Arabidopsis thaliana: one gene and its partners. The protein of the gene in region 1 interacts with the protein of each later gene in a pairwise test. Each region holds a gene or a part of one and is shown in the gene's direction. Other genes may lie near its edges.

Region 1 (5,118 bases):
GAAATTAGGGTGCATCGAAGACCGTGAAAACCACAAGCGTATAGCTCCACTGCTTCGATTTTTCTCCTCCCAGAGTGAGAATGACATGATCAGCTTGGATGAGTATGTTGAGAACATGAAACCTGAACAGAAAGCCATATACTTCATTGCTTCTGACAGCATTACAAGTGCTAAGAATGCACCTTTCCTCGAAAAGATGCTGGAGAAAGGACTTGAAGTATGTGTTGTTCTTCTGAATGGGGCCTCGTTTTGTTCTTCCTTGCAAATATTCCTATTAACTCAGAGGTGATTGACATGTATTTCTTTGTATTGTGAACGTAGGTACTATATTTGGTAGAGCCTATTGATGAAGTTGCCGTACAGAGTTTAAAAGCTTATAAGGAGAAGGATTTTGTAGATATCAGCAAGGAAGACTTGGATCTAGGCAAGTGCCTGATGTAATTCCTTGATTTAGCATGTCAGGTAATCACTTATGTATAATAACAAATTCTGGCTTTGATCTTTGTATTGACAGGAGACAAGAACGAGGAGAAAGAGGCAGCAGTGAAAAAAGAGTTTGGACAGACTTGTGACTGGATAAAGAAACGATTGGGTGACAAGGTTGCCAGTGTTCAAATTTCCAACCGTCTTAGTTCTTCCCCCTGTGTTCTTGTATCTGGTAAATTTGGTTGGTCAGCCAATATGGAGAGGTAAGATCTGACCTTTTTCTTAAGCAAGGATTTCCGTTCTCCTTTTTTGCCCCTGGTGAACTAACACAGAATATGTTATCTGGACAGGCTAATGAAGGCACAATCAACTGGTGACACAATAAGCCTCGACTACATGAAAGGGAGAAGAGTGTTTGAGATCAATCCCGACCACTCAATTATCAAGAACATAAATGTGAAGTCACCATTCATCATAACTTGTACCTGGCTATTATAATTAAATCTAGGAGCCGCTTTTTGAGCTTGGCTTGTTTTTTTCTTGCACCCTGCAGGCTGCTTACAATAGTAACCCAAATGACGAAGATGCAATGAGAGCCATAGATCTTATGTATGACGCAGCACTAGTTTCTAGTGGGTTCACGGTGAGTCCTATTCTACATTAACATTCTTAACTTTTTGTTGTCTCTAGAATTGAAATAAAGTAAATACTGGTAAAACTTAATTGTTGTTTCTCAAAACTACAGCCCGATAATCCAGCAGAGCTGGGTGGGAAGATATATGAGATGATGGATGTAGCTCTTTCCGGGAAATGGTCAAGCCCTGAGGTGCAGCCGCAGCAACAGCAGATGGCACATTCTCACGATGCAGAGACGTTTGAAGCTGAAGTGGTTGAACCAGTCGAAGTGGATGGGAAGAAATGAACACAAGCCTAATGTTTTATGTCCCTGCTACGATTCTCATCATATTCTTCTTCTTTTATTAGTAGTAGCAGTAAAAGTAGAACCCCAAAACTCAGAACAATAGGCAATGAGCGAATGATAATCTCTATTTATGTTGGAGAGATTAATAATTGATTGAGCTTGTTTTTGTTCCAGTTTGTGTTGATCCTCCTCGGTATAATTTTAATAACCGTTAAGAAAAATTCAGTTGGGGTGTTTTTGGAAAGATTTTTCGAGTTTTATCTAACAAAACTAAAATTTTGGGACATATGGTAATTTTTAATTAAATAGAGGGATGTTGTTATCGTACGAATTGGGTTGGTTTAAAACTTTGTTTGGACAGATTCGACTCAAACGTTGAACGCGTTTAAAAAAGTCAACAAAAGTCGAAGGTTACCGGCTGGTCAGGTTAACCGTTAGAGATTAATGAACTGGCAGCTGTATGTCTTTTTTATAGTTCTGTCTTAACAGGCAAAAAAGTGTTTAATTTATCTTTCCTTTGGGTTTCTCACGGAGTCACGGTTCCTCGTTCGTCCTCTCCCGTCGTCTCTCCGGTGAGTCCTTAATTTTCCGGCGGTCTTTTTCCCTTTCTCGTCTGTTTGGTGCTTTCTTTATGTCTGAGGCGAATACAGCAAAACGTATCTGTTTTGGTTGTTGAGTTCGAGGCTGGTCCTGAAAATTCGGTGACAAAAAGAGTCAATAACTCTCGTGATCGAGTTGGATGCGTTGTTTTGAGGGTTGATTCAGTTTATGACTATGTATTTTGGTACTTGCAAGATTTTCTGATTTTATGAAGATTCGTGTTTGACTTTTATAGCGTATAATCTACGGGGCAAACAGATTCGAGCAACTTGTTTTTTTCTAGCGCTTGTTTTGTGTTTACTCTGTCATGTGTTTGTATTTTTTGAGCTTCCACTAGTGATTAATCATCTCAGCTCAATTTGAACATAGGAGATGTAGTTTTTATCTGTCGGTGGATTTCTAGGGATTTTGCAAAATGTTTTGGGCTTTCCTGAATTAGTATGTGATTTGGTCGTAAAGTATTTTAGGGATTTATGTGTTCCTTGGGGTGAATCTGACATTGACATTATCTTGGTGTCTGCAGCACTAAATTGATGGGCACATCATCTGGGTCCAATCTTCCTCACCAGATGCTACCTCCACGTCAGCAACTACAAACATCTCTTTCGCTTGTATCTTCAGATCCCCACTTGTCACGGTCTAATTCTGGCATTGTGCGTGAATCACCAGCTGAAAGTGCTAGCTCTCAAGAAACTTGGCCAACCTCAAAATCTATTATGGGAAGGAAGACAGATAGCGGAAAGACAGGGCCTGACTCTCATGATCAACATGTGATCCGCCATGTTTCCATTGCTGATAAGGTATCGCTACGGGACATAGCTAGAGAGAGACTTGACATAGTCGCTGAGAGAATGCATCGATTACCAGAAGAATATCTCGAGGAGTTAAAGAATGGTCTTAAGGCTATCCTTGAAGGAAATGGTGCGCAGCCTATAGATGAGTTTATGTTTCTGCAGAAGTTTGTCCAGACGAGATCTGATTTAACTTCAAAGACACTTGTCAGGGCTCACCGAGTGCAGCTTGAAGTTCTTGTGGTTATAAACACTGGTATCCAAGCATTCTTGCACCCAAACATCAATCTCTCTCAGTCATCACTCATCGAGATCTTTGTGTACAAGAGATGCAGAAACATAGCTTGCCAAAACGAACTCCCGGCTGATGGTTGTCCCTGTGAGATATGCGCTAATAGGAAAGGCTTCTGCAACCTGTGCATGTGTGTGATATGTAACAAGTTTGACTTTGCAGTCAACACATGCCGCTGGATTGGCTGCGACGTGTGTTCTCATTGGACTCATACGGATTGTGCTATTAGGGATGGGGAGATTTCGATGGGAGTTTCTCCCAAGAGCGTATCTGGGATGGGAGAAATGCTGTTCAAGTGTCGAGCGTGCAACCATACTTCTGAATTGCTGGGGTGGGTGAAAGATGTGTTTCAGCACTGTGCACCAAACTGGGATAGGGAATCTTTAATGAAGGAACTTGACTTCGTTAGTAGGATTTTCCGTGGAAGCGAAGATACAAGAGGCCGGAAACTCTTCTGGAAGTGTGAGGAGCTTATGGAGAAGATTAAAGGTGGACTGGCTGAAGCAACAGCGGCCAAGTTGATACTCATGTTTTTCCAAGGTAAGCCCACTCGCTATTGTTATATGATAAGGGTTTACTCTTTATAGACCTAACCATGTTTTGTGTATGAAGAAATTGAATTGGACTCTCCAAAGAGCCTTGAAAGCGGAGAAGGTGGGGGTACGATAGCACCTCAAGATGCATGCAACCGAATTGCTGAAGTTGTAAAGGAAACACTGAGGAAAATGGAGATAGTGGGTGAGGAAAAGACGAGGATGTACAAGAAAGCGCGAATGGGGCTTGAGGAATGCGAGAGAGAGGTAGAAGAGAAAGCAAAGCAAGTGGCGGAACTGCAGATGGAGAGGCAGAAGAAGAAACAACAGATAGAAGAGGTGGAGAGGATAGTGAGGCTGAAGCAAGCAGAGGCAGAGATGTTTCAGTTAAAAGCAAACGAGGCAAAAGTGGAAGCAGAGAGATTGGAAAGGATTGTGAAAGCGAAAAAGGAGAAAACAGAAGAGGAATACGCAAGTAACTATTTGAAACTGAGGCTGAGCGAGGCGGAGGCAGAGAAAGAGTATCTGTTTGAAAAGATAAAAGAGCAGGAAAGTGGTGGGAATGGTGGTGAAGCGTCACAAGCAGTGATGTACTCAAAGATCAGAGAAATGCTGCATGGATACAATGCATCGTCGCCAAGGGTAGATCCAAGATCAAACCAGCGAAATCCTTTCAGATCCAATCCTTAGATGTTTGTATTGTCTCTCTTTGTTTGTATTAAAAAAAAAATCCGAATCAATTAAGGTTGGATTTGTGTGTGAAGTATTGTGGTCTTTGTATTCAAATTTTGCACATGATCGTCTATGTTGGGCCATAATGTTATGCAAGCTTTGACACAGAGTGTTGCCAAAATCTCGATACTTATTCACTCGGATTTAGAGAATTGTGGATTTCGCTAATGGAGGGAGATCCATGTTACCTTAAATAGTTTATATTTGAGCCAACATGAGAGCCAAAGAACATCGCCACCGACTTTAAAAAGAAAATATTTTGCCCAAATGGATATTACAGAGTAGTTATTTGCAATAACGTCCTCATGTTTGGGTTATAATAACGATTTGATTTCTTACGGGGTATAAAGCAAAAGGAATCAAAACGTTTGGGGAAATAATGTAATATTCTGGAAACAAAACGCGTATAATCGGATTGATAAGGAATATTATATCATCGCCGATGCAATCATCGACCATCGTTTTGTTTTCCTGTCTACCCAAAAACAAACCCTAGTGTCCGAATTCTCGACAAAATTCATCGGCTCCAAATTCCATTCGTGCTTTTTGAATTCGCGTTCTTCTGATTCAAGATGTTTCTTTCACCTGGTCATTCTCCTCGTCAGATTTCTTCTCCATCGCCGTCTTCTTATTCCGATGATACCCTCCGATCAACGCCTCGCAGTTCTTCCTCGGAGATCATTCCTCGAAACCCTAGAAAACGGATGAGAGTTCTCGATGAGGACGCTTATGTTGAAGCAATCGAGAAGATCATCGAGCGTGATTACTTTCCAGATATAACTAAGCTTAGGGATCGGCTCGATTGGATCCAAGCGGTGAAAA
Region 2 (4,470 bases), 710 kb from region 1:
GCTGCCCATTTTAACAGATTTTGGATATTTTTTTGGGTTTTAAATGGAAAATAAAGAATAAAATCATGTGCTTTAAGAATCTTTCTTACTCTCTCTGTCTCTTTATAAACACATGCCTTTAAGCCACTTCCCTCACAATCATTATCATCACATAATTCTTCTCCTTATCTTTTTAAGCAAAAACATTTCCTTTTTATATTCCTGTTTTGTTACTGTTTTCCTAGTTTCATATCTCTTTGTTTCGTTCTTATCCTTCATTAGACAGTGACTCTGTATTGTCCTAAAACAACAACATACACACAACTTTATAAGAAACAGAGATGTTGCAGATTGTAGGCAAGTACCGGTGGAGACAATCTTATCGGTACAAGAAGCTAACTGATCATGGCGAGAGATTGACAACACCACCACCAGAAAGAACAACGAGGTCGCCGACCAAAAGACAGAACTTGGGGAAGAAGAACGAGACTCGAGCAAAAGGGTTCAGAGTAAATCGATCAAGGAAGCTGGTTCTTAAGGCACTAGCTTTGCCAAGAAGGATCTTTAACATTTATATGCGCATCACAAATCAGATGAACAAAGAAGGTTTATATCCTAATCTTGTTTTCTCTTCTCATTGGGGTTTCCCTGGTTTGCTGAATTCAAGAGGTGGATTCCGTTAGTGAGAAGATATCTGATTCTCATTACTCAAAAAACAATGAAACATAGAAATGTAAACCCACTTCCATGTTCTTCTAAATTACGATTTTTGGAGGATTATATGAACAGAGTTCAAGATTGTTTTTTTCTCTTCCATAATTCATAGCAAGTTGTAGAGTGATTCTATTAGAATCCTTATCACTATTGGTCAAATACAAGTAAAGTTGTTTTTTTCTTTTAGGAAGAAGATTTGCAGTCATAAAGGACACATGAACTTTACAGAAGATTCCAACTTAACAATACAGTATGTGATGATTTGTGACAATCACATTTTTTTCTTATGCATAAAGTAAAGATAAGACTTGGTCAGATAATAAAGAAAGGGTTTAAAGAAACACTAGAAGCATGTCAGTACAAAAAAATCCAACTAACTTCTTTTGTTGCACCCATGTTATAAAGGAACTAACTTTGTGGTACATAAAGCAAGCAAAACTTCGGCGCTTCAACTCCTCCTCATTTATGAAAACCCATTTATGCAAATATTGTGAAAAGGGAGAAAAGATACAGAGTATAAGGAGATTGGTACAAATTAGGAAAGATGTGAAATGGCAAAAGAGCTGGAGAAACTTGCACCAAGATCGTGAGGTATTTATGCTACGACAACATGATATATTGGATCATGTGCTTTCAACTGATAAGTACTATATATTTCAATAACATAGGTAGAGAGAATTAATGTTTTCATTTATCAATAGTGTTCTCTAGGTTTATGATTTGATAGAATGTGAGTTAAGGAAAGACTTGGAGCTGAAAGAGATACTAAAGGAGAACAGAAGTCTTAGAATTTTGGCAAATGCTACGTCACTACGCTATGATGAAGGCAAATAAATGTAGGGAATGCCATTGTAAAAGCTAAAGGTCAATAGTGGGAAATTTTTTATATGTTGTCTCTTAATCGGCTTAGAGCTAAATTTGATTTTACATTAATGTTCTTCGTCACTAATACTCTTTTTCTCCTTTTTGCTTAAGTTTAAACGCAATTCAAAACATTTTTATTTGATTTAAACGCCAATTTACACGTTGAAGCGTGAAACAAAAACAACATTTTTAAAATTTTCTCTGGAGTATATAAAATATTTGCGTAATAAAACCGTCAAACATATTTTGATATATATATTTAGTTTTTTTTCCACAATAGTTTGATATTTTATGCATTTAGAAAATAAACATGTTTACATGCTAAATGTTATAGGTTGATCGCGAAAAAAATAATACGGAAGAAAGGAAAAACATTTGCAAACCGGAGGACCAAAACAGCAATAAAATTGAAAATTTGGTTTGCCGAATTAAATTATTTTTCTATTTCATTATTAGTAAAACTAATTAATAATTTATTTAACACGAAAACTCGATTGCGATTTTTTGAGAGTGAGAAAGAGCCAGCGAGGCCTGGAAACAAAAAGCGTGAAGGAGACCGTAGCAAGTAGGAAGAAGAAACCAGACCTGGCTTCGTCTCTGATAGATCGTCCAATTTTCTATCCGAATTTTGGCCAACTGATTCTGGTTTCGGTGGATGAACAATGAACAGAACGAGAGAGATCCTGATAACATCAACAACAAGAAGAAGAAAAAGGAATCTCCATTGTTGATTTACTCCGTCTCGAAAGCAAAGAAACGAATCGTGTCTAAGTTCAGAAGGAGACCCTTATCGCCGAATACGTCTCCTTCTTCTGGGTTTTGGAAAAGAGTCTGCTTTTGTGGAATTGAACCTGACCCTGAAGATGACAACTTTAAGCTTAGGGTTCTGCTACAGACCAATGATTTCTTCTCCAAGGATTCTAATCCACATCTCTGTTTGTAAGTTCAGATATATATATATATATATATATATATAGTGTAGTTTTCATTTAGTATACCACCAATATCTGTATAGATCTTCTTTTAAACTTCATCAATATCAAAAGTGTGTTCATCAATGTTACCAAAGATTTTTGCAGAACAGAGTGATTATTGTTAATGAATCTTGTATATCTGCCTCTTATGCTCATCATTAATATCTGTGGGTCTTTCTTGTCTCTCTTCATAGTTCCGTATGATAGTTTCTATATGTCTCTGACAATGTCACTCTTTGTCCATAATATCCAAACTAGTTTGTAAGATCAGAAATTTGAGCCCAAGTTTGAATCTCAGAGTATCACACTCAACGAATATTAATTGCTAATGTCTGATATCTGTTTCCATGTGTTGAATATCTCTACTAGTAAAGCCCAAGTTTATTTTGGCAAGTGTTGTTTACCTTTGACACATCTAGGGTAACCATTTTCAATGGTTTTATGAATAGTTGAATTTTACTGAGACACTGATGTAGTTGTGGTTTTGAAATTGCTATATGGATTTAATCATCTCTATGAAGCCGCGGAACCCTTGTGCTAGTTATGCTTACTAAGTCTTGATTATGCAAATGGTTATCTCCAATCATCGTTTGTTTATTGAATCTGATTCTAAGTGATTATGAAGAAGGAGCTTGGATAGTTAATGGTTGATGTTTCAGAGTTGTAGCATGCCTCTGTGTCCTTTTTTGAGACACGATTTCCCTCTAAACTCAGCTGAAAGTTCAGCCATTAAATCTACTGGATTGAAAGCACTAAAGAGGACCTTAATATTCTTGCAGTATGGTATGTTTCAAGAACTGTCGATTGTTCAAAGATATATATATATATAGACTCTTAAACATGTGAAAACTGGTCTCATCGTAATCAATGGGCCAAATATAGTCAAAAGAGTATCTACAATAATAAAGAAAAGAATGAAAAAAAGTTACAAGCTTTTGCTTAGAAGTTTACATTTTTATGTTCATCATTGTATATCATTATTAGATTAGTGCTCTGGTCTGAAACTTATTTATTTCTTTGGTGGGAATTTTCCCTTAATCTTCTGAATCTCTGGTGCTGCAGCCCCGAACGCCTTGGCAAGCAGGTCATCAGGAATCGGTGGGTTAGAACCAAACAGAGATGGTCCAACAACTTGAGTCCCGGGAAGCTGGCTATCGAAAGCAGCGAGGACGGAAGCAGGAGCTTTGTTAGGGTTCTGCTGGAAATGGAGGAGAGCTTTGGGGAAAACGAAAACGTCTCCTTTGTTGACGTGTTTGGAGATGAGTTTCCCGGTAGTGGTTAAGAAACCGACGAAGAGACGGCCTTCAAGGACGAAGATGGCTTCAGAGGCTCTTGGGTGAAGATGTGGTGGGTTAAGTCCGCCAGGTGCGTAGTCGATCCGAGAGATGGAGACTCCCAGAGTGTTGAGGCCAGGCACTTTCTCAACGTTGGCTCCTGTAACAGCTGAGCCCATTGAAGAGTTGGCTGTGGCTGCAGCAGTGGCTAAGCCTATGAAGTAGAAGTCTTCTGGTGTTACTTTTGCTGGGTCTTTGCAAGGGTATCCGTTGACTTTCAAACCTAATCAGAACATGATAAAAAGTCAACAACAAAATATTGGAATTGGTCTTGGTTGTTTCAAAACACCAAAGCTGCGTTTGCAGTTAACTATATCTGGTAAATGTAAATGCAAGCAGAACATAAATGGTATAGAGAGAGATGTGATACCGTTGGAGAGATCAGCAACACAAAAGTCTTGAAGCATATTTGTATCGGCGAGGGCCATGTGGGCGGCCACGAGCATGAAGGTGACGAATATAGGGATCATGGAAGTTGCCATTGTTGATTGTTGTTGTTTGTAAGATGTTATTGATGAGTTTGAGAAAATACTTTAACATTGTTTCTCAATTTATATATCTACGTAAAGAAGATTTAACCAATGGAAAACCAATGGAGAAGAGAT
Region 3 (7,013 bases), on another chromosome or scaffold:
ACACACACTAAGAATCAATATGAAATCGTCAAACACTAAATTCAGAGGAAGAGCTCGTAAATCTCTGACTTGCCTTGTTGCGAACAACGGGAGATTGAGAAGAAAGAGAAGATATGGTAAGAGGAAGGAGGTTAGAGACTAGGGATTCGAGCTTGGAGTCGTCGCAAAGAGCGAGTCTCGTCAGCATCCGATCGAGCATTTCCTCCAACTCAGCGTCCGATTTGGAAATTAACGAAGACGAAGATGAAGAACCTTCCATAGCTAATCTCAGAAATTTGTTGAGTTGCAGAGATTTATCAGTGCTTCTTTGCTTCTTCTTTGGTTCTTCTCTTCTTATGCTTTTCCTTAGTCTCTCCCGTCTTGGCGGACAAGAGAACTATGGCTGGTCTAAACGACGTCGTGTTGTATCCCATTAGGCATATTGGGCCTCTAATCCACAGCCCATCCTAGCCCGCATTTGCCATTTTTCTCACAAGTCCTTTGGTTTTTTAGGCAACTTCTTGTTTTCAGCAATTTTATTGTTTGGCCGTGTTTGTCAGAGAAAATAACCCACCACTTGTGTGAGTTGAATGTCTCAAACAGACTAGTAGACTTCAATGATATTTATGGCAATGATTGAGTGGTATGGCCGAGAAACTAACAGGTATCATGCTGATGGGTTTGATAACCAACCAATTGAAATCCACTTTCACTCCTCTATTCAGGTTTGAGGCAATATCTTCATTGATTAAATCACAACCATTCCAGATTAAGCTTATATGTGGTAAGGTAACAATTTATTAAAAAAATTGTTCTTCTTCATGAGGACAGAGCCCGTAAAAGAGTTAGATAAGGTGGCTAACAACAATATACCAAAGGACTTTGTATATATGCAAGACTTTGTATAGGGCAAAAATATGCAAGATTTTGTTAACATGAAAGGTTTTTAGAGGTGATGCAAGATTTTGACATTTTTTGTTTGTACTATTTTTGTTGGATGATCCTATCTTTTTTTTTTTAATTTATCAAAAAGAAAAGCCTAATTTAGGATATTGTATGATTTAATTAAAATAGTTGTGGCTTTACTCGTGATTGGTGATCTTGTGATTGGTGGGTTTTGAGAAGTTTTGCCTCGCTTCTTGTCCTTCTTTTACAATTTTGTCGTAATCTGATTGTTTTTTGAAGGATTCTATCTAGACGTTAAGTGACGAATTGGTGGTCATCGTCGTATCTGGAATGGTGTTTGTGTTTCTTTTAGTGGTCTTGCATGTCGGGTTATGATATCCTTGGTTCTCGAGAGATTGGCTCTCAACGTGATAGGAGGTGGTAAATGTTATTTTGGATTTGATCAATCGTACTTGCAGGTGTGTTAAAAGAAGTGGAGTTTCTGCTTTGTTGGATCTCTTATTTTTTTAAGATTTTGTCTTGTTAATATGGATCTTAGTTTGTACTATCGTCCTTTTTCGAGATTGGTTTGATATTTTCTGCATTATAATTTGAGTTTACTTCATCTTCTTTATTTAGGATCTAGATTCCGAAGAATTCTCTTTTTCCGCCAGCTTATGTTTTTTTGGGAACTTATAGTTTATCCGCCAATTTACGTTTTTTTTGTTTGGGCATTATATTTTACGTCTTTCACAACAAGATTCTATAATTTCTTTATGACAAAAAAAAAAATAAAAAGTAAAAAAAAATAAATCCCCATGACCAAAAAAAGTTTTGGCTTTACCAAATTTGTGTAAGAAAGGTCTAAGTTTCACACCAAACCACTCTTATTAGTGTCATCATTTTGATTACTTTCCCTTTTAAAAAACAATTAAAAAGAATATCGTGGCAGTTAAACACGAAACAGAACCCGTGACCGCTCTGTGATTTTTAAGTTTCAGACAACAACAGTCCGACAGCGACACACATCAACCGGAGTTGAAAATTATGCAACAATTTATTACCTAAACCAGAAAAACTTTTAAACAAAACTAAATTAAAAAAAAAAGAAAAAAAGAAAAAAGACAGTGTTTCCACCAAAGCCACAATTTTTTCACGGTCTTTGCTTTTTAGTAAAGCTAATGCTTACGACTCTCTCAAACTTCACTTTTTGCCTTCTCCTCAGACCAAATCTTCTTCTTCTTCCTTCTCTGTTCTCGACGACCTTCTCAAATTCGATCTCAACTCAAAACATTTGTCTGATCCATTAATCGGATTCAGGTGAGAAGTGTTTAGCTTTGTTCTCTTGAAAATCTCCGACGTTGTTCGTGATTATTGCAGTATTTTGTGTTCTGATTTTCGATTTCAAGTTCTTAAAATTTGACTTTCAATTTCTATCTTCTTTGAAATTTGTTACTAAATTGGTATATGGGTAGTTGTTGTTAGCTCTTTTGTTTGGTAATCTAGGGTTTTGACATCCATCAATTCTTTATCTCTGTAGCTATAAAATGTTTTTAAATGTGTGTTGAATCCATTGTTATTTCCAACATTGGCGTAGGTACTGAAAAAAACAATGTTTTGTTTTTGTTGTTTTAGATTTTTGTGAAGATTCAACAACAGATCTGTGAGTCCATTGGAGTATATTACTATTCATAGTGGTTAGACATCTACTAGCATTTTCTGTCTTTTATTTTGTTTTTGTCTAAGCATTTTTGGTTTTGTTTATAAACAGATACAATGACAAGGGTTACACGCGATTTTCGGGATTCATTACAGAGAGATGGTGTTCCTGCAGTATCAGCAGATGTGAAATTTGCTTCAAGTAGATTTCCTAATTATAGAATTGGAGCTAATGATCAAATATTTGATGTTAAAGACGATCCTAAAGTGATGTCCATGAAAGAGGTTGTTGCGCGTGAGACAGCGCAGCTTATGGACCAGCAGAAACGTTTGTCTGTTCGTGACCTCGCTCATAAATTTGAGAAGGGTTTGGCTGCAGCTGCTAAGCTATCTGAGGAGGTCTGATATTATTCTCTTTTTGTTGAGGTCTTATAGATGAAATGTGTCTCTTGTATTGTTACTATCTTTGGTTACTATGTAATGAGTTGATTTGCACATTTATGTTAGTTTTTGTGTTGATTGAGTCTACTAAATAGGATTTAATAAGAGGGATTTTAATTCGGTGATAACCTTACTTTTTGTTAGCAAAGAATTTTTTGTTGTTATAAATACAGAAATAGGGGATCAAGAAGGCTAATCTAGGTTGCTAAAGTGAAAATATGATATGATTGAAAAAAAAATTTAAGGCTAATTTGGTTGGGAACGAATGCAGGCAAAACTCAAAGAAGCAACTTCGTTGGAGAAACATGTTCTTTTAAAGAAACTTCGAGATGCATTGGAGTCTCTAAGAGGACGTGTGGCAGGTAGAAACAAGGATGATGTAGAGGAAGCCATTGCCATGGTTAGTCTTTTACTCTTTTATAGTCTTTTAGTCATCATATTTAGCTCCGTTCCTTTACATGGTGATATATATCGCCTCTAGCCTTTTCTACAAACCGAAATGTGTTTTTTTCCATTTTCAGTTCTGCGTTCTTAAATTGTCTCACAATCCCCATTACCAACATTTTTCCCTTCCACCTCTATATCTTAAGTATGTTTGGAATTTTGAATTCTGCTAGGTTGAAGCTCTAGCTGTTCAGTTGACTCAGCGAGAAGGAGAGCTATTCATAGAAAAAGCGGAAGTGAAAAAGCTAGCGTCTTTTTTAAAGCAGGTAAAGTGTGCCTTTGAGACAGTGACAATATTTTCTTTTCTCGTGTCACTTGAGGTGAATAGTTAGGAGACGTCTATGTCATTTCACTTGAAACAACCAAGTCCTCTAAAATAGCAAATACGTTTTCGTCCACGGCTTAATACCATGCAGTTTTTGTTAGTCCTTGAGCTAACCAGATGATTAAGAGAGAGTCTGTCCTTTTTGTTTTCATTTGAGTAGTTTATATTCTATTACTTTTGACAAAGAACTATGATGTAGTTTCTTTACAGACATAATCTTTCACTTACTATTCTTGATTCTTTTTCTTATCTTGCTTGGGACATTTGTATTAGTCTTCTGTTGTCGGTTGTAAATTAGTGGTTACTAGATGGGCTAGCTTGAAAAAGATGCAGATGTGTTCTAATAATCTTGCTGATTAGTGGGTATGATTTTTTAACTAGGCCTCAGAGGATGCTAAGAAACTTGTCGACGAGGAAAGAGCGTTTGCACGTGCTGAGATTGAAAGTGCAAGAGCAGCTGTACAAAGAGTTGAAGAAGCCCTGCGAGAACATGAACAGATGTCTCGTGCCTCTGGGAAACAAGTATTTTAGTGATGGCTTCTATCATAATCTTGTAAATGTCCTATGCTTATAACATTGATTCGTGTTAACAGAGTATTGTTATAATTTATCGTATCAGGACATGGAAGATCTAATGAAGGAAGTTCAAGAAGCTAGGCGGATTAAAATGCTGCATCAACCAAGCAGGGTAGGTAGATGAAAGATGGTTTATCTCTTGGGTTTAAATGGCTTTATCTGTCTGTCTAAGTCGATGCTTCTTTAGTATCTTATGTTGTTTTTAAAAAGTCAAATCATGTGTATTGTTTTAGGTAATGGATATGGAATATGAGCTTCGAGCACTAAGAAATCAGCTTGCAGAGAAATCAAAACATTTTCTTCAACTACAAAAGAAGGTTAGTTGGATCCATATTCCATACACATATATATTCTATTTAGTGCATTCCAGGTCCTTTTGATGTCTTAACTTCCACATTTGTGACTGTATGCGGTTGACAAATAGTGGATTCTGATACTATATACATTTTTCTATGATTCAGCTCGCAATGTGCAGAAAGAGCGAGGAAAATATATCCCTTGTATATGAAATAGATGGCACTGAAGCTCTAGGATCTTGTTTGCGAGTTAGACCTTGCTCCAATGATGCACCTGATCTTTCCAAGTGTACGATACAATGGTACCGTTCATCTTCAGATGGCTCCAAGAAGGAGCTTATATCAGGTCCACTCACCTTTCTCATTGTTTTCTTTCTCTTATTATATTTGAGTTTTAAAATGTTCTGTTCTGTGAGCTAGTCGATTACAAATCAGATTGTTTCTTCTAACTAATGATTTTGGAATTGTGAACAATATATTTCCAAAGGCTGGTGTAAATAGGGCAAAATCAAGTTTAACATTGTTCCCATTGAGGAAAATGTTTCCTAACTATGTTCCTATCTCAGGTGCCACAAAATCAGTTTACGCTCCCGAGCCTTTTGACGTTGGACGAGTCTTGCATGCAGATATCATCTACGATGGCCATTCGCTTTCGTTATCCACAGTGGGAAAGATTGATCCAGGTTCATTGTTATGTTATTTACTGTAAAAGGTTATTGTTTATGTCAACATGATCAAATGGTTTGTGTAGGTTCTGTCACTTAGTAGATATTACTTAACTTTGACAAATCAACAAACACGGTCCTGATTTTCGTCATTACTAGATGATTTATCAAACATAACAAAGTCTTGATTTGGTGCAGCTGCTGGATTGGGTAGCTATGTCGAGGCATTAGTACGGAAACACGATGTTGATTTCAATGTAAGGTTTCTCTAACACTCGGAATTAGTATTTATATATTTGGTGCTTGTATGTATATTATATTTCCCCTTATTGTAATTTACAGGTAGTTGTGACCCAAATGAGTGGGGAAGACCATACATCAGAATCTATCCACTTGTTTCATGTTGGTAAAATGAGGATAAAACTTTGCAAGGGAAAGACAGTGATTGCAAAAGAGTACTACTCTAGTGCAATGCAGGTAAGGATACTACTTTACCCCGAGAAAATTGTCATATTTTTAGTGTTACACGGTGAGATCTATAATATCATAATCTTTGATGATCATATTGAGTAGCTATGTGGAGTGAGAGGAGGTGGAAATGCTGCAGCTCAGGCATTGTATTGGCAGGCGAAGAAAGGAGTGTCATTTGTGATAGCTTTTGAGTCTGAGAGAGAAAGAAACGCTGCGATCATGCTTGCACGAAGATTTGCTTGTGATTGTAATGTAAGTATAACTAAGATGGAGTTAGAAACTTTGGTTTTTGTAGAGAGAGGTGTTGATGTAAGTATGAAACTGATGTGTTGCAGGTGACACTTGCTGGTCCAGAAGACAGAACAGAGACGGGTCAAAGCCCTTGAAGAACGGCTCTTACCTAAGTTGTGATTTTTAGTATCCGTAAGAGCTTATTTGTTTTGTAGTTTATATAGGTTTTAGGCATTTGTTTGAATTGTACTTGTATTGTGTGTAAAAATATCGAGCAGTGAAGTAAGAGGTGATGGTGAATCTATATGTAACGGGTGGCTTGTGTTTATTCATTTGTTTTGATCTTACTTGCCCTTGAGGTAATATAACGGATTGCTTGTTTTGGACTGGATCCCAAAGCATACAATATATTGCAAGTGAATCACAGCCAAAATCCTGCAACAAACCCGAAAATCCATGATCGTCGATCATTCTCACTAACCGATCTCACAGAGATTCCAATGTTAAAACCAAACAACAACAAAAAGATAGAACAAAAGAGAGAGATCATCACAACTACATGATCAACAACTAAAGTAGACTAGGGTTTTGTTCCTTCATGCACAAGAAACAGTTAAGTTGTCATGCGAAGGAAGAAGAGCAAACCACATTGGTCCACCGTCCACCTCATCACTCTTCCTTCTGCGAATCCAGCTGCCCTTAGATGCATATCAAATTTAACATGTGACAAAGTCACAAAGTTTTGATATAGTGGAACTACACAAAAGTAGTGTTATCGCAATTGTCTCATCAACAAAGCCAACACTAACCCTCAAAATCAAAAAGCTCGATTTAGAGGTTTGAAACGCAGTTTCGAAGGAAGAGAGGAAAAAAACGGGAATGAATATATATCCAAGTGATTTATGGTTTTTAGATTCGTCAATAAACGAATTTATGTCTTTAGATTAGTAACCAAAGATTTCATTTTAACTAGAAGATATCTGTGACAAAAAGAGTTAAAAATTCCAAAACGTAATTTGAGGAATCCAAGGAAACTGAAGA
Region 4 (4,561 bases), 100 kb from region 1:
TCTCTCGCTACTCTCGCGGCTTTAGCAATCGCTGTAACCAGAGTCCTAGCTCAGAAACTCTCTCTCGCAATCCAGACTTCAAGTCCCGTAATCGCCGACGGGTTACGATTCTCTCTCAGTACCGCCGGACCTGTCTTCTTCGCGTCTCTCCGGGATCGTCCTCCGGGATACTTGAACACGCCGCTGACGGTTGTTGCGGTGGGGATAAAGAAGTGGCTAGACATTTACAGTGGGGTATTGATGGTTAGGGTTTTGCTGAGTTGGTTCCCTAATATCCCTTGGGAAAGACAGCCTTTGTCTGCCATTAGAGATCTCTGTGATCCTTACTTGAATCTCTTCAGAAACATCATTCCTCCTATCTTCGATACGCTTGATGTTAGTCCATTGCTTGCTTTCGCGGTTCTTGGTACACTTGGATCGATTGTTCATGGCAGCACTGGGTAGAAATTGGAAGACTTGAGCTAATGGTTTTGTTGAAACGTTCAATTGGGAAATTTCTGCAACTTGTTTCCCAAGATTAGGGAAAAATCAGAATTTGATGCTGTGTTGGATGCTCGATGAGAGTTGTGAGCTTTATCGTTTTTGTTGTTCTCTTTTTGACTTTGATTCTGAATAATGAGATTTTGGGTTGTTGTTTATCTCCTAATTACATGTTCAGACTACCGTTTATTGATGGATTATCTGCGTTCTCTCAACTGTTGACATTGATTAAGAACCAGAAAGTTAAGTATTGTAGAAGAATAGGCATGTTGTGTTATCTGCATTATTTTTAGATTTTCGATATCTAGTTTAATATGTAGTAGAATTTATCATTTGTATCTAATCCAGATGATGACATGTATGTGAATCTGGCATGAGATTTGAGGTGTTTGGAGATAAGTTCAGTATTTGCGTGTAACACCTTGTCCTAGGCCGAGAACATGGTGTTCTTTAATGTTACTTCTTCTTCTTCGTTGGTTAATAAAATGTTTAGTGTGGATAGAATTGGTATAGAGTTTTGAGTAGAGTTCAGAGTCTTATTGTTTAGGCAAAAGCAAGTTCAAGGTTTCATTGAAACTCCAAGGGAATAAGTAATCTTAAGTTCAAGGTTTCAATGACACTGTTTCTCGAGGAAAGAAAGAAAGAAATCAGACTCTTTGGAGTTTCAATAAAAGGTCAATGAAAGAAAGAAAGAAACTAGAAGTTTGAATTGGATCACACCATTTGCCAATTCAATTATAAAATTATGTACGATCTGACAAAATCAAACTCGTTGAACTCTAACATGACCAAAATCTCCCCAAATCCAAATACCGTAATCAGACATGGTCATCATACAATGCGAAAAAAATAGTACAACCGAGTTAGATTCAATTTCGGTTCATAACCGGTTTAGAAACCGTAATCGGACAATGGACATGGTCTCATCACAGTGCAGTTAATCTTTGAACTACAATCTTACAAAATCACACAAGTTCGTTAAGTTCTAACCAGACCCGGCCCAATTGGGTAGGGCAAGGTGCAAGTGTATAAGGCTCATTTCCTTTTTAAAAACAATTCATATAAGACCCAATATTTTTTAAAAATACAGTAAAGATCCAATTTTGTTTTTATTATGAATCTAGAGCCCAAAACAATTAAAACTGTAACATAATGAAAAGTCCAAAGCAAAAAAACACAAGTTTTTTCCCTAATACTTTTATATTTATTGGGCCGGGGCTGGCTCTATCATGACTAAACTCAACCTCAAATCCAGAAATCGTAACCAGACATGAAATCACAAGAGAATTAGGAAAACCGAGTAACGTTCAATTTCGGTTCATAACTGGTTTAGAAAGCAGCTCTGGTATAGGTCGTTTTAGCTTCCCGACTTCACTTCTAATCTCAGACTCTGCGACGCTCTTTACAAACCGCCGGAAAACCGCCATGAACTTTGTCGTCAGACGGGTAGGCTCCATTTTGCCGTCGATACGTCACGGCGGCGTTTCCCAGATTCGACTCGCGAGAACAGAGGCAGGTCAGCCGAGACGGCGAAACAAGTTGCCTTCTCTTCCGCTAAAGAAGAAGGAAGAGAAATCCGAGTGGTGGATAGTAGACGGAGAGATGCACGAGATCGGTGATCACGTCCCTCCTCGTGAGCGTTTCACAATCCCCAGGGACAACATTCCGAACAAACGCCGTAAGCAGCTCCGTGACCAGTTCATGCGCCGCACTCGCCTCGTCCTTAAAGAATCGGTCAGTTCCTTTCACAAAGTTTAAGTTTTTTCAATCTTCACTGTTTAATTGTTCTGTGTTGTAGTTCAATTGGAAAAAAATCTGTTAAACCATTGCAATGATAGGAACATGAGCCATGGTGCAAAAAGTATATGGAACTATATAACGAGCTTAGAGAAAACTGGGAGAGGCTTTATTGGGATGAAGGGTATTCAAAGAAACTCGCAAGTGATCATGCAAATTATGAATCCGCTGAAGAAGACGATGAAGATTTTAATCCATACAGGTTTAATCCCTGACTATATTCTTATAATGATATTTAGGTGTGGATGGGTGGTTTTGTGATTGGTTGATCTTCTTAATCATTGCAGGAACAGGCGGTCTTTCAGCGATCAAACAAAGGTAACAACTTTATTATGTTTTTTGTAGTGAGTAGATTTGAGATCTTGTTGTGGTTCACTTCTGTCTAATTTCATTGTTTTCCCTGATTTTGTTTTGTGTTATCTGTAAAACTTGAGTCTGATTTTTGTGAGAATCGGAAATGAAAGCAGGAGCAAGGGTTTAATAGAACTACACAAGGTGATAATTGGGAGAAAGTCAGTCAAATCAGGGATAAGTTTGAGTATGATAGAGAAAGGAGGATGAGAGATAAAGGTGAGTTTTCATCACCAACATAAGTGTAATGGTACTTTTATATACTCTTCAGCATTTTACTGCATGAACTGATGAACAGAATTAGTTTGAAAATTATTTGGTGTAATGGAAAGTTAAAGTTGCATCATCATCATGTGCTCTGTTTTGTTGAATAGGAACTCTTAACATATTATTACCTGAAATATATCAGAAAATTGGGGAAATGCTTTAAAACATGTCGTTTGCAAATTGAAGAGAGGTAAATAGATAAGATAGAGCGCAAGGGATGAATTTAGATGAATGTCGCTTATTGTCTACCATCTTGACCGTGTATATTTGACATGCTAATTGAGCCGAGCATCTTGCATGAATCTAGCTAGAGTCATGTGGTGGGTGATATGTGTGTGCTGTATTCTGCTTTTACTGTAGTTTCTCAGCTGTCTTGAACAATCTCTCTGTCGTTGCAGCCTTTGCACCAATGAATGCAGCACCAGAATCTCAAGAATCTAGGGACTTGAATTGGAATGCACAAAGACGGCCATTTGATCCTGATAGATTCGCAAGGGATTGAATACCCTTAACATCACATGGTGAGAGCAAGTAGATGAAATGGAGCTTGACGTTACTTGTACTCTATATAAATATCCAATGTTTTTTCTCTGATTTCAGGTAGAGCAGGCGAAGAATGAGCAGGCTGCTCTGAAGAAATAGAATAATATAAGTTTGTGTTTAGTTTTTACTTTATGCAGTGAATATACTTTCATGTAAGCAAATTGCGTGCTGCAGATTTTTCCAAGTTTTACTGTATTAGTTTATATAGAGAGGCGCCGTATTGCTCTCTCCACCCAACGACACCAAAATAAACGAAATGTGAGGTTAACCCACAAAGTCCGATGCAACTAGATGCTAGGAAAAGGCTGCAGAACCATATGCGTATAGAAACTGAGAATGTTTTGTATGTGTAAGTGCGAAACAACAAGTCAAGTGAAATATTAGCTGCATATGAAGATACAAGCTGATGCAGCGCACCTTTAGTAGTTTTAGGGATTTTATCAAACACTCGTATTGGGAGTGTTCGACAAGTAACGGGTTTTAGTTTTATTTTACTTAGCGTTTCCTTTATTGAAGGGAAAATTACCCATCTCTTGTAGATTACATTAGGATTATTCTTCTAGGTTTTATCTGTATCTCTTATATATAGTGATCCTAAAGAAACTTTGTCATTTTGTGATTTTCTAGAGAAATTATTCCAAATAACTGATAACAAGAGACATGAAATTAATTACATGGAAGAAAATTGGCAGAACATTTTCCAGGTAAATGGAGAGCGAGGGTCCGGTCAACGCCAACGATGGGTGGTCCCTTGGCAAGAACGCATAAACAAGGTTGACCAAGTGTCTTGATGGCAGCGCAACATAGCCCGTTCGGAGGCAATGTGCTAAACGGAGCCACTGATGGTCTACACGGCACTAGCTGAATCAAAGCCGACAAAAATGTACGACCACATGGGTGTCCCAGCGTCTCTCTCACCAGACCTGACTGGACCATAACCATAAGTAACATCACTGTAAAAACCTGACTCTTTTTCATTACAATCATCCCTTTTTCTTTTTGTGACAATGTCTTGTACAAAAAAGACGAAAGCTCATATATAACTTGTACTGAGAGTGCAAAAGAGAATAATTGCATGAAGAACCTAATGGAGTTGGATTAGATGGATCATGAAACTTGGGTT

What was found.
Region 2: the proteins of OBE1 (region 1) and AT3G05935 interact in a two-hybrid assay, tested with the Arabidopsis thaliana proteins (one large-scale study listed by BioGRID).
Region 3: the proteins of OBE1 (region 1) and SCAB1 interact in a two-hybrid assay, tested with the Arabidopsis thaliana proteins (one large-scale study listed by BioGRID).
Region 4: the proteins of OBE1 (region 1) and AT3G07440 interact in a two-hybrid assay, tested with the Arabidopsis thaliana proteins (one large-scale study listed by BioGRID).

The regions. Positions count from the first base shown.
Region 1 is NC_003074.8:2,482,623-2,487,740, forward strand, and holds OBE1 (potyvirus VPg interacting protein (DUF1423)), read left to right. Parts: upstream 1-1,831; 5' UTR 1,832-2,363; coding exon 2,364-2,386; intron 2,387-2,471; coding exon 2,472-3,571; intron 3,572-3,643; coding exon 3,644-4,254; 3' UTR 4,255-4,504; downstream 4,505-5,118. Other genes in the region: Hsp89.1 (HEAT SHOCK PROTEIN 89.1), read left to right, coding at 1-217, 322-424, 515-689, 777-882, 980-1,069, 1,172-1,348; AT3G07790 (DGCR14-like protein), read left to right, coding at 4,869-5,118. UniProt on the Arabidopsis thaliana protein: Probable transcription factor that acts together with OBE2 for the maintenance and/or establishment of both the shoot and root meristems, probably by controlling the expression of the meristem genes such as WUS, PLT1 and PLT2 and of genes required for auxin responses.
Region 2 is NC_003074.8:1,770,254-1,774,723, reverse strand, and holds AT3G05935 (uncharacterized protein), read left to right. Parts: upstream 1-2,063; 5' UTR 2,064-2,212; coding exon 2,213-2,496; coding exon of another isoform or gene 2,497-2,500; exon of another isoform or gene 2,501-3,190; coding exon of another isoform or gene 3,191-3,314; exon of another isoform or gene 3,315-3,540; coding exon of another isoform or gene 3,541-3,593; coding exon 3,594-3,813; downstream 3,814-4,470. Other genes in the region: AT3G05936 (uncharacterized protein), read left to right, coding at 321-662; GLP8 (germin-like protein 8), read right to left, coding at 3,541-4,088, 4,236-4,347.
Region 3 is NC_003071.7:11,403,371-11,410,383, reverse strand, and holds SCAB1 (plectin-like protein), read left to right. Parts: upstream 1-1,962; 5' UTR 1,963-2,184; intron 2,185-2,499; exon of another isoform or gene 2,500-2,561; intron 2,562-2,635; 5' UTR 2,636-2,640; coding exon 2,641-2,922; intron 2,923-3,235; coding exon 3,236-3,364; intron 3,365-3,581; coding exon 3,582-3,674; intron 3,675-4,114; coding exon 4,115-4,255; intron 4,256-4,352; coding exon 4,353-4,421; intron 4,422-4,542; coding exon 4,543-4,626; intron 4,627-4,770; coding exon 4,771-4,951; intron 4,952-5,171; coding exon 5,172-5,288; intron 5,289-5,468; coding exon 5,469-5,527; intron 5,528-5,612; coding exon 5,613-5,747; intron 5,748-5,843; coding exon 5,844-5,993; intron 5,994-6,076; coding exon 6,077-6,127; 3' UTR 6,128-6,405; downstream 6,406-7,013. Other genes in the region: AT2G26780 (ARM repeat superfamily protein), read right to left, coding at 74-259. UniProt on the Arabidopsis thaliana protein: Plant-specific actin binding protein that bundles and stabilizes microfilaments (MFs). Has no nucleation or capping activity. Regulates MF reorganization during stomatal closure. The binding to F-actin is insensitive to Ca(2+) and pH.
Region 4 is NC_003074.8:2,379,506-2,384,066, forward strand, and holds AT3G07440 (uncharacterized protein), read left to right. Parts: upstream 1-1,682; 5' UTR 1,683-1,905; coding exon 1,906-2,214; intron 2,215-2,318; coding exon 2,319-2,479; intron 2,480-2,564; coding exon 2,565-2,595; intron 2,596-2,744; coding exon 2,745-2,847; intron 2,848-3,293; coding exon 3,294-3,397; 3' UTR 3,398-3,416; exon of another isoform or gene 3,417-3,495; 3' UTR 3,496-3,864; downstream 3,865-4,561. Other genes in the region: YLMG1-1 (YGGT family protein), read left to right, coding at 1-444; AT3G07450 (Bifunctional inhibitor/lipid-transfer protein/seed storage 2S albumin superfamily protein), read right to left, coding at 4,105-4,425.